2 linked regions of the Bombyx mori genome follow. The protein of the gene in region 1 purifies or fractionates together with the protein of each later gene. This does not show direct contact. Links are inferred from orthologs where the notes say so. Each region holds a gene or a part of one and is shown on either strand. Other genes may lie near its edges.

Region 1 (4,531 bases):
TTTTTTGCTGCAACAACTCGTCGGCAATCTTCCATGAGTGGATCTGTGAGGAATTTTAGGTTATGTACATTTTCATGTTATATTAATATAATGAACTCAATCAAATCACTAATCCCAAGTTGAATAAAAATAAGTACACAATTTAATACTTACGGATTTCTGTACATCGGCGAGCCATAGCGAAGCCTTCTCAATTTCATTTCCATTTGGGCCATCGTACAGAGCGCTGATCGCCTGGTAAACAGTGTCCATTGAAGGAGCATCCATCGTGGAGATTTAAATTCTTATACTAATCTCAACCCCACACTTTTCTGGTGCATAAAATGTTACTTTTCATATCTACTTAAGAAAGTATTGTTTCGAATCAAATTTGATTACAAAAAGAAACTCAAAACGAAACGACAACGAACCACAAATTGCAAATGACAGATGACAGATTCGAGTCAGTCAGCAGGGCTGAGCTCGAAACCGCATTGACTTGATTCAAGTTGACTGGAAAACGAAGTTGTAATATTTTAATTTACCTACCTATTAAGTCTGCTCAACCCAAACAAGTAGCATTGAGATTTTCTTCCTACAAAAAATAGATCTTAACGTTAGTGTAATTTAATTCTTGGGATGTAATCATCTGACAATACTTTACAGGTTCAAACATATTCAGGGGACAAAACTTGAGCAGTAGACCGTATCCCTATTTTAAGAAGATTGATTAAAAACTTATTTTTTACAATCATTATATGATAAATAACGACAGAAAGACACGTAGAGAAAGATGTAGAAATCAAACGAGTAGTTTGTCTTACCGCGTAAAATACCGCTTGATTAATGAAATGATTTGATAATGACCAAATCCTAGAAAATTTAAATAATTAAAAAACGTTTTTTTTATTGCCCTTGTAGACAGACGAGCATACGGCCCACCTGATGGTGAGTGGTTACCGTCACCCATGGACTTCAGCAATGCCAGGGGCAGAGCCAAGCCGCTGTCTACCGAGGTTAAGTATAAAGAATCATATCAAGTTTGTTCTTGAAACATACAATTTAGTTATTTTGTTATGCTATTAAACCACTATTAATATTATTAATTTTTTTCTTAATTGAGTTATAATATATATCCGAAAGAAGTTATTATTATTTACTTATAGTGATTATTATTAATAATTACTGTGAAATATTAATTAATTTCTGATAATCTATGATGTAGATTTAAATCAGTAGCTGGTATAATAACAGTGGATATATGATTCATTTAAGCCCAAAGAGTATCGATGAAATGTATTGGTACAGCACCGTGGAGTCATTGTTAAAAGTTTTAATTTTCTAACTATTTGGCAGCAAAAATGGTTGGTTTTTTAAGAGTTTGTGGCGACTAAAAGGTCAATTCCACATTTACGTAGAAAGACTTCAACCTATTTGGAGATATTCGAAAAATACAGGGAAGATGACAAAACAAAATATAATGTAAAAGGCTTTTTTTAAACGAATTGAGAAAATAATAGAAATACGTACTATATAATTATGCGCGCTCCATTACTGAGACCCTTTATAAAAAAAATATTCATTACTCTATTCTTTCGGGCTTAGTAAACTTTAGACCTTACCTTTTGGCTTAAGCCAGGAACGAAAGCACATTAGAGCATCTAGGTATTTATTAATATTAACCACTGAATTTTTATAGTGTATGTACCCTTGTTCTGTTTCATAATGCAAAGCGTCGTCATGACGGCCGAATGACATTTGACAGCTTGACATAAAAGTTATCAAAGTTGTGAAGGTCATGAACTTTTATCATCTGTTAACTTACGATCGATATAACAAAATAAATAATAAGTAAGGTAACTACCATAGTAAAAACTTCTACCTTCTAATGTTTCTCACAGGGTCTTCGATTATCCGTGGCATTACCGCATTCACCAATCGAGCGTCAGCGCGAGCACTTCACATTTCACAATTAAGCATGGCACCAATTAAGGTAAATTATTTAAGAAAAAAGACTTTTTGGAATTACATAACAGGTTTTTTTCAAGTGTTTTACTTCAAGGTCGGGGATCAGCTGCCTGCTGCTGATTTATTCGAAGATTCTCCCGCTAATAAGGTGAATATTTGTGAGTTGACGGCGGGAAAGAAGGTTGTATTATTTGCGGTGCCGGGCGCCTTCACCCCGGGATGTTCTAAAACACACTTGCCGGGATACGTACAGAACGCAGATAAACTGAAATCGGATGGAGTTGCTGAAATAGTGTGCGTGTCTGTTAATGACCCGTATGTGATGGCGGCTTGGGGAGCTCAGCACAACACTAAAGGAAAGGTAATTCCTTCATACAAATATATTATTTACGTCATTCTCTTGTTTAAATTTTTCAATGAGATATATTAACATTGAGGTACCAAAATATTTATAATGCGAAATGTATTTAAGCATATATCTATAGATCCAGTAACCACCATTTTAATACTGCCACGTGTCTTGAGGACTGACATTGGATTCACGGTTACATTGTAATATTTGTTATACCCTCTAAATTGAATGCAAGCTTGCTTAATAGTAAAATGTTTTTACTCGAATAATAATTGCTTCAAATTATTTTCATTTACTTATCTGAATTTTTTATTTTGATTTTGTTAATTTATTTTTATCAAAAGTGAAAACAACCTGAAAATAGTTTTTCTGCTACCTACACAGTATCGCAATCAAATATATCTAACATATTACTGAGTGGAATTTAATTTAGTATTTTCTTTGATTTTCGGGGGGATCTTTGCATTAAGTAAAACTTATTTTATGGTTTATAAATTTATTTTATAATTAATTATTACCTATTTTATATTCATAGTTCTATAATATAATAAATACCAAACAGTTTTTAAGTCGTGGGTAATGATTACAATATTGTGCTTCTAATTTACCTGAAACCTACCTACTTGTTTCTGATAAAATATACAATGATCAAATATTAATGACATGACCTACTATTTAAATGATTAACGTAAATAAAGAACAATACCTTGAATTAACTTATTTACGACAATAAATAAAAAAGGTTCTGTTAGTAATCGTTCCGTTGTGACCTTCTCACAGTCACAACAGTATAAGACCTTGTTACCAATAAATTTTAAGAGAGTATTTTGTCTATTGATATTACATCGAATCAATGTTTTTTGAATGTGCGGATTACTGAAATGCATAAATGGTGGTGGTATGGTGTAAGCGGACATGGGTAGGTACCATTCCTGTCCCTCTATAGGTAGATATAACTAACTATACTTGAGACCTTAGAACTTATATCTCAAGGTGGGTGGCGCATTTACGTTGTGGATGTCTATGGGCTCCAGTAAACACTTAACACCAGGTGGGCTGTGAGCTCGTCCACCCATCTAAGCAATAAAAAAAAAGATAGTTAGGTAGGACTGCTATTATACAATACAGTTGAGTAGATCTTTGTAGTGCAGTAAACACAAAACACAAGGCAGTTTACTCACTCATCTGAATATATAATAAAAACTGAGTATACAACATACATATTAATAATATGTATTATTTGTAATTAGTGATTTTAAAATTACAAGAGCCATATTTAATGAAAAAATGTCCAAAAGCTTATTATGAACGTGGGAGCTGTTATCAGACGTTATAAGAAGTTATGAGGTCGTCTACAGGGCAGCGGCGACCGTGCCATGACCAGTGTGTATATGTGACAAAACAATAGCAGTGTGTGTCATCATCACATTTTTTTTTGTGTTGAATTTTTGCCCGCAACAGAGTAATCGCGATTGCGGTATTACAAATAGTATAACATAAAAAGTAGGTGTGTGAACTAGTGCAACTGCTATATCGATCCCACGGCAGGTGGCACGTAAAAGTTTAACTATGTAGATAAATAGTTATTGAGTTGGCAGTGAAGCCAGTCTTAGTTAAAATGAGGTCGGAGTCTATATTCACCATTCAATCTGGAGCGTATGATAGTTTTTCGGCAGACAAGACATTTTTTAGTTATAGATGAGCCGACAAGCTGATTTTCTTAACAAGCTAATCTTCTACGGTAGGCAGCGGCTTGGCTCTACCCCTGGCAAAAAACAAAAAAAAAACCTTGAGTAGCCACATCTTATCGAAAAAGTATAATTAGGTACATTGTAATAACGGCTCTACAATAACTATTGACATCGAGGCGGTAGTTAGCTACTGCTTAGCTCTTTATGTCTATGACTCTCTTGGGATGTAATTGTGGTTCCCACGTCCTTCCCCATCAGTATTTCGAAGGGATTTAGTCCTTCACGGCAACTGGTCCCGCTCCGGGTCTCTAGTTGGATCCGGGGGCTGGGTTATTTCCCGCCGCCCAGTGTTCGGCGTTGACGTTTTACGGTAGGAATGTCCAGTTCTACTCAACCCTCCTCTTTTCTCATCCGGGCTTGGGACCGGCAATGTCAAGAGAAGGTAATTACGCGAAGTATGTACCGAATGTGTCTGGTTTGGCTTTTTCCACATTGCTATTCCTTCATGATGGATGTCCTAGTCAAAGGTTTTAAACATATA
Region 2 (4,517 bases), on another chromosome or scaffold:
ATAGTTTTTGTTTGAAATAGTTTAAATTTTGTGTTTTGAAGTTAACAAAAAACACGGTATCTGAACAGTTGCGATGTGTGAAAATTAGTGAGCAGGTAGTTTTGTTCTCTATTTTATAACACCACCTAGAATCAATGCGTTCATCCACAGTGCATTTCCATAGATATTTTTTGCCACTTACCTATGGTGCTTCCCGAAAGCACATATCCATAAAACGAGGCTTTTATACAGTACTTAGCGGTAGGCAGCGTTTTAGCTCTGCCCCTGGGAATGCTAATGTACATAGACGACGGTAACTTAAAAAGTAAAAAACAACGGAGCTTGCGAGTGCAGCCGCATGTTATGACTACGAACAATTTTGTTTACATAACAAACTGTGTCCCTACAGGTATATATAATATAATATAGATATAATAATATATTGTTTAGGTTGTCGTGATAGTTTTTTCTAAGACTCGCAACGTTGTTGATGCATCATGTCGTTTTTCGGTTTCAGACATCGTGTCAAATTTATATTCTGTGACGGCTACCGCTGTTTTGTGCGCTTGTAAGGTTAAAAAAGTGTAGGTACCTCCAAATTCTAGTGCTCCTATTAAGGACATAAATAAATCATAAAAACAATTTATGAACCTAAATAAAATTTGCAATGGAAAATGATTTGACAATATGTAGGTCTAAGAGACCACAATATGTTGATGGATGCTAATTGATGGATGCTAAAATATTTGTGGGTGTTTTATCAAGCTAAGTTCATTTCGTTACGGAACCCTTCATAGTGTAGACTGTTATACACTTGACGATATAGGTAATTTTTTACAATGTTTCGAGCATAGATAATTTGTTTACACCATACACAAATAACCTTAGGCCTTAGATGATAATAGTAACGACAATTAATTGACAATACCTACACAATTTCAAAGGCAAAGTAGGTAATTTACTCTCTTATACACAGTCTATTATCTATGTATACTAGTAGGTACCGTACTTAAATTTAATCAGAAATTGTCAACTCGTTCATAATTAATATTTAATTTAGTAGTTATGTACAAATATGTTTATTTAATAAATATCAAGTGTATTATCTATGGTTCTCATGTTGCTGTTGTCATTGTCTACTCGTTCTAATTTATTTTTAAAAACTCTTGCAAATTATAGAGCTTTTAAATCAAGGTACCGAACTGTTTTAGCGGAATTTAATTGCATAAGTGGCGTTAACTACATTCACATTATAATCTAGCCGTGAATCAAGTGAAAATACCTACCAAAATAGAGGATACAACAAATTGAACCGGCATTTAATTACCTTTAAGAAAACTTTAATTATACTTTTATCGTAATACCTACTGATTACATAATACAGAAATAAAAACTATGTAATTTGTTGTTTGCACACTACATGCTTTTCTGTTTTATATTAGTTTATTTTCATTTTAGAACAATGAGCAAGTCTGCGTTAGTGATTTTGGCGCAGGGTGCAGAGGAGATGGAGACAGTTATAACTGTTGATATGCTGAGACGAGGAGGGGTTTGTAGTCAATTAATTCATTAAATCCGTTGACTGAATTTCCTTAGTTGGATTGTAATTAGACTTTTGCTAATCGACATATTTCGCCCGTCATGTGGTCTTGACGATCTGATAATGTGATTCCAGATAGCTGACTCTCGCTCGTCAATAAAAACTAACACCCTTTTATCAACTATTCAGTTACAATGGTCGCCGGGTAATCATGATGCTACCACAGCTGTCAATGACAAAGTCTAAAATCTAAATGACAAATAGACCAACACCTCAGCTGATCACTGATTGATAGTATTAGCAATATAATATAAAACTTATAGCCCTAGTCTCCTATTACTATAGAAAATTTAGTGTATTCTAAAATTGCATAATGAAAATCGACCATAAATTATCAAATAGTTGAATACTAGATCACTGCTTAATTGTAAATCTTAATTAAACAATAAAAAGTTACTACTTACTATATACTGATCAATTGCTGTTCTACTCGAATGTGCATCAGTTGCGTAATTGTTGTCCACTCCCAACTGCAACATCATTGAAATAGTTTTTTCATATTATGTTATCATAATGATGTTATGTGTATAAGAGTTATACTATGGTATTGGTTTGAACACTAAGGGTAGGATTGAAATCATGAATCTTTAAAATATTATAATACTCGGAGAGCATCCATACTCATAAAGAATATTTTTACCTTTTTATCATTATCTTAAAGGACGAAATCCATAGAATTTCAAAGAAATTGTATCAGGAAAGGAAGTGAAAATGAATTGGCTATGAACAATAAAAGATACTATATTGCTAAAACAAAAGGACATTGTATCTAAATGATTTACAAAAGAGAAGCTGCCTTTATTGGAGGACGAACTCCCAGGTCTCACAGCACACCTGCACACAGCTCATGCTCATTGCAGATTCCATAGTAAACAAAACAAAGGTTACATTCTATACCCATGAGAAGGAATATCATAGTGGTATTCTAACCAATGAGTAATTTATTATTAAGCTTTTTTCTTATTGAAAAGACCTTATTTCCCCATAGGTAACAGTTACTCTAGCTGGCTTGGAAGGTTCATCTCCTGTGCTGTGCTCAAGGCAAGTGACTCTAGTACCTGATAAGTCACTGACTGAAGCCCTCGCTGAGAAACAACAGTATGATGCTGTGAGTATCCTTACCGTTATCTTATACAGCAAAGTTCATTTGCAACTGCAGAAACTACATCATTTCTAGAAAAAAATTACAATAGTACACCCAATTTCTATGTTAACATAATTTAGAACCTGAGAACCTTAGAACCTAGAATTATGCACCCCAGTTGTGATTTTAATGGCTAATGATTCTGTTCTATTAGGTTTATTAAACATTTAGACGTAGCATAGGCATGATCCAAAATAAGATTAGCTAGTGACAACCCATAATAACCGGGGCACGAGTCACGACCATCACCTAGCCACAAATTAGATTCCCTGTCTTGCACCACCGTTTCAGTTGAAGTTGAAGAAAATACTTGGCATCATCAACTACAATGAATGTTACTTTGACAGGCGTTATATAGCACTGCAGGTGTCACCTATAAAAATAAATAATTTTCTCCAAACAGGTGATTCTACCAGGAGGCTTAGAAGGATCAGACAGTCTCTCCAAATCCGAGAAGGTTGGTGCTCTGCTTAAAGACCACGAGGATAATGGGAAAATCATTGCTGCCATTTGTGCTGGTAAATGAATTACTAAAAATTTTTTTTAAGTTTGCTTCCAATTGAGTTTGGAATACTAATGTTACCAATGGATGTCATCATCATCATCATCATCACAACCGACACCTCCTCGCCACTCCTCACCCGTTCCCAATGGATATACTAATTTTAAATTTCTAAACTACATGTTGACTTATTAATATTTTGTCCCGGTAAAGTCAACAATAAGTACAGTTGATTGAATAAGCCAATAGAAACATTTGTTTATAGACATAAGAGAATTCTCTTTCAATAAGCAACTACGTAAATAAAATATTAAAAACTATCTAAGGAAATATCGCAACATATATAATGTCACAGACATAATATGTAATTAAATGTTACATTGGCAGCTCCCATAGCGTTTGCAGCCCACGGCGTGGCGAGGGGCCGGCGCGTGACGTCATACCCCAGCACCAGGGACAAGCTGTCGGCCGGCGACTACACGTACGTGGAGGGGGAGAGGGTGGTGGTGGACGGCAACGTGGTCACCAGCCGGGTCAGTGATCTTATTATAAAGCTATAGGGGTTAAAGTATGAAATTGCCGTTCTATTGTAATAGGCACTCCAAATTGACATAGAACTTTTGAGTGAAACTTTTTTCAAATGGTACCTATAGGGTTCTTCTTTTGAAAAATGTGCAACATTCGATTATCGATTTTTAGTAGTTGACTCGATTCATGAATCGATCTTCACCATTATTGCTCCATGATAACGCGAGACCTCATACAGCACGAGAAACCGTTTTAACTCTACAGGAACTGCAATTAGGAATCATTTGTCATCCTCCGTATTCGCCAGACCTTGCTCCAACGGACTACCATTTTTTTCGTGATTTGGACAATTTTGTACATGGTAAAGAAAAACTTCGCAGTTTGTAGAATCTAGATCACCAGAGTTCTATCGCAAATAAATGACTTTCCTATTAGATGGCAGCAAAGTATAGATAATAACGTCATCAACAGATGACGTGGATTGATCAGTATGAGGGTCCCCTGAGGTCACGCTGTCCCTCCCTGTGTAACGCGGTCCTGTATGTTCCCCAGGGTCCCGGCACGGCGTACTGGTTTGGTTTAACCCTCATCGAGTTGCTGACGGGAAAGGAAAAGGCCGATCAAGTCGAAAAGGGAATGTTAATCTCGCAGTACTAATATTATTAAACAATAATAACACGGGAATATATTATGTAATATTATAAGGAGTTAAAAAAAAAACCATGTGTTTTTTTTCCGCTGGATTTTATTATTTATTTTAAATG

Evidence for each region.
Region 2: the proteins of peroxiredoxin (region 1) and BmDJ-1beta fractionate together in Homo sapiens (co-fractionation; 3 studies listed by BioGRID). This does not show direct contact. The link is inferred for Bombyx mori from reciprocal best matches to the Homo sapiens genes PRDX5 and PARK7.

The regions. Positions count from the first base shown.
Region 1 is NC_085118.1:970,106-974,636, forward strand, and holds the start of peroxiredoxin, read left to right. Parts: upstream 1-1,468; 5' UTR 1,469-1,571; intron 1,572-1,799; 5' UTR 1,800-1,867; coding exon 1,868-1,972; intron 1,973-2,041; coding exon 2,042-2,308; intron 2,309-4,531. Other genes in the region: transportin-3, read right to left, coding at 1-43, 154-267. UniProt on the Homo sapiens protein: Thiol-specific peroxidase that catalyzes the reduction of hydrogen peroxide and organic hydroperoxides to water and alcohols, respectively.
Region 2 is NC_085129.1:16,172,288-16,176,804, forward strand, and holds BmDJ-1beta (DJ-1 beta), read left to right. Parts: upstream 1-1,435; 5' UTR 1,436-1,437; coding exon of another isoform or gene 1,438-1,441; coding exon 1,442-1,528; intron 1,529-2,567; coding exon 2,568-2,687; intron 2,688-3,126; coding exon 3,127-3,241; intron 3,242-3,612; coding exon 3,613-3,758; intron 3,759-4,305; coding exon 4,306-4,410; 3' UTR 4,411-4,414; downstream 4,415-4,517. UniProt on the Homo sapiens protein: Multifunctional protein with controversial molecular function which plays an important role in cell protection against oxidative stress and cell death acting as oxidative stress sensor and redox-sensitive chaperone and protease.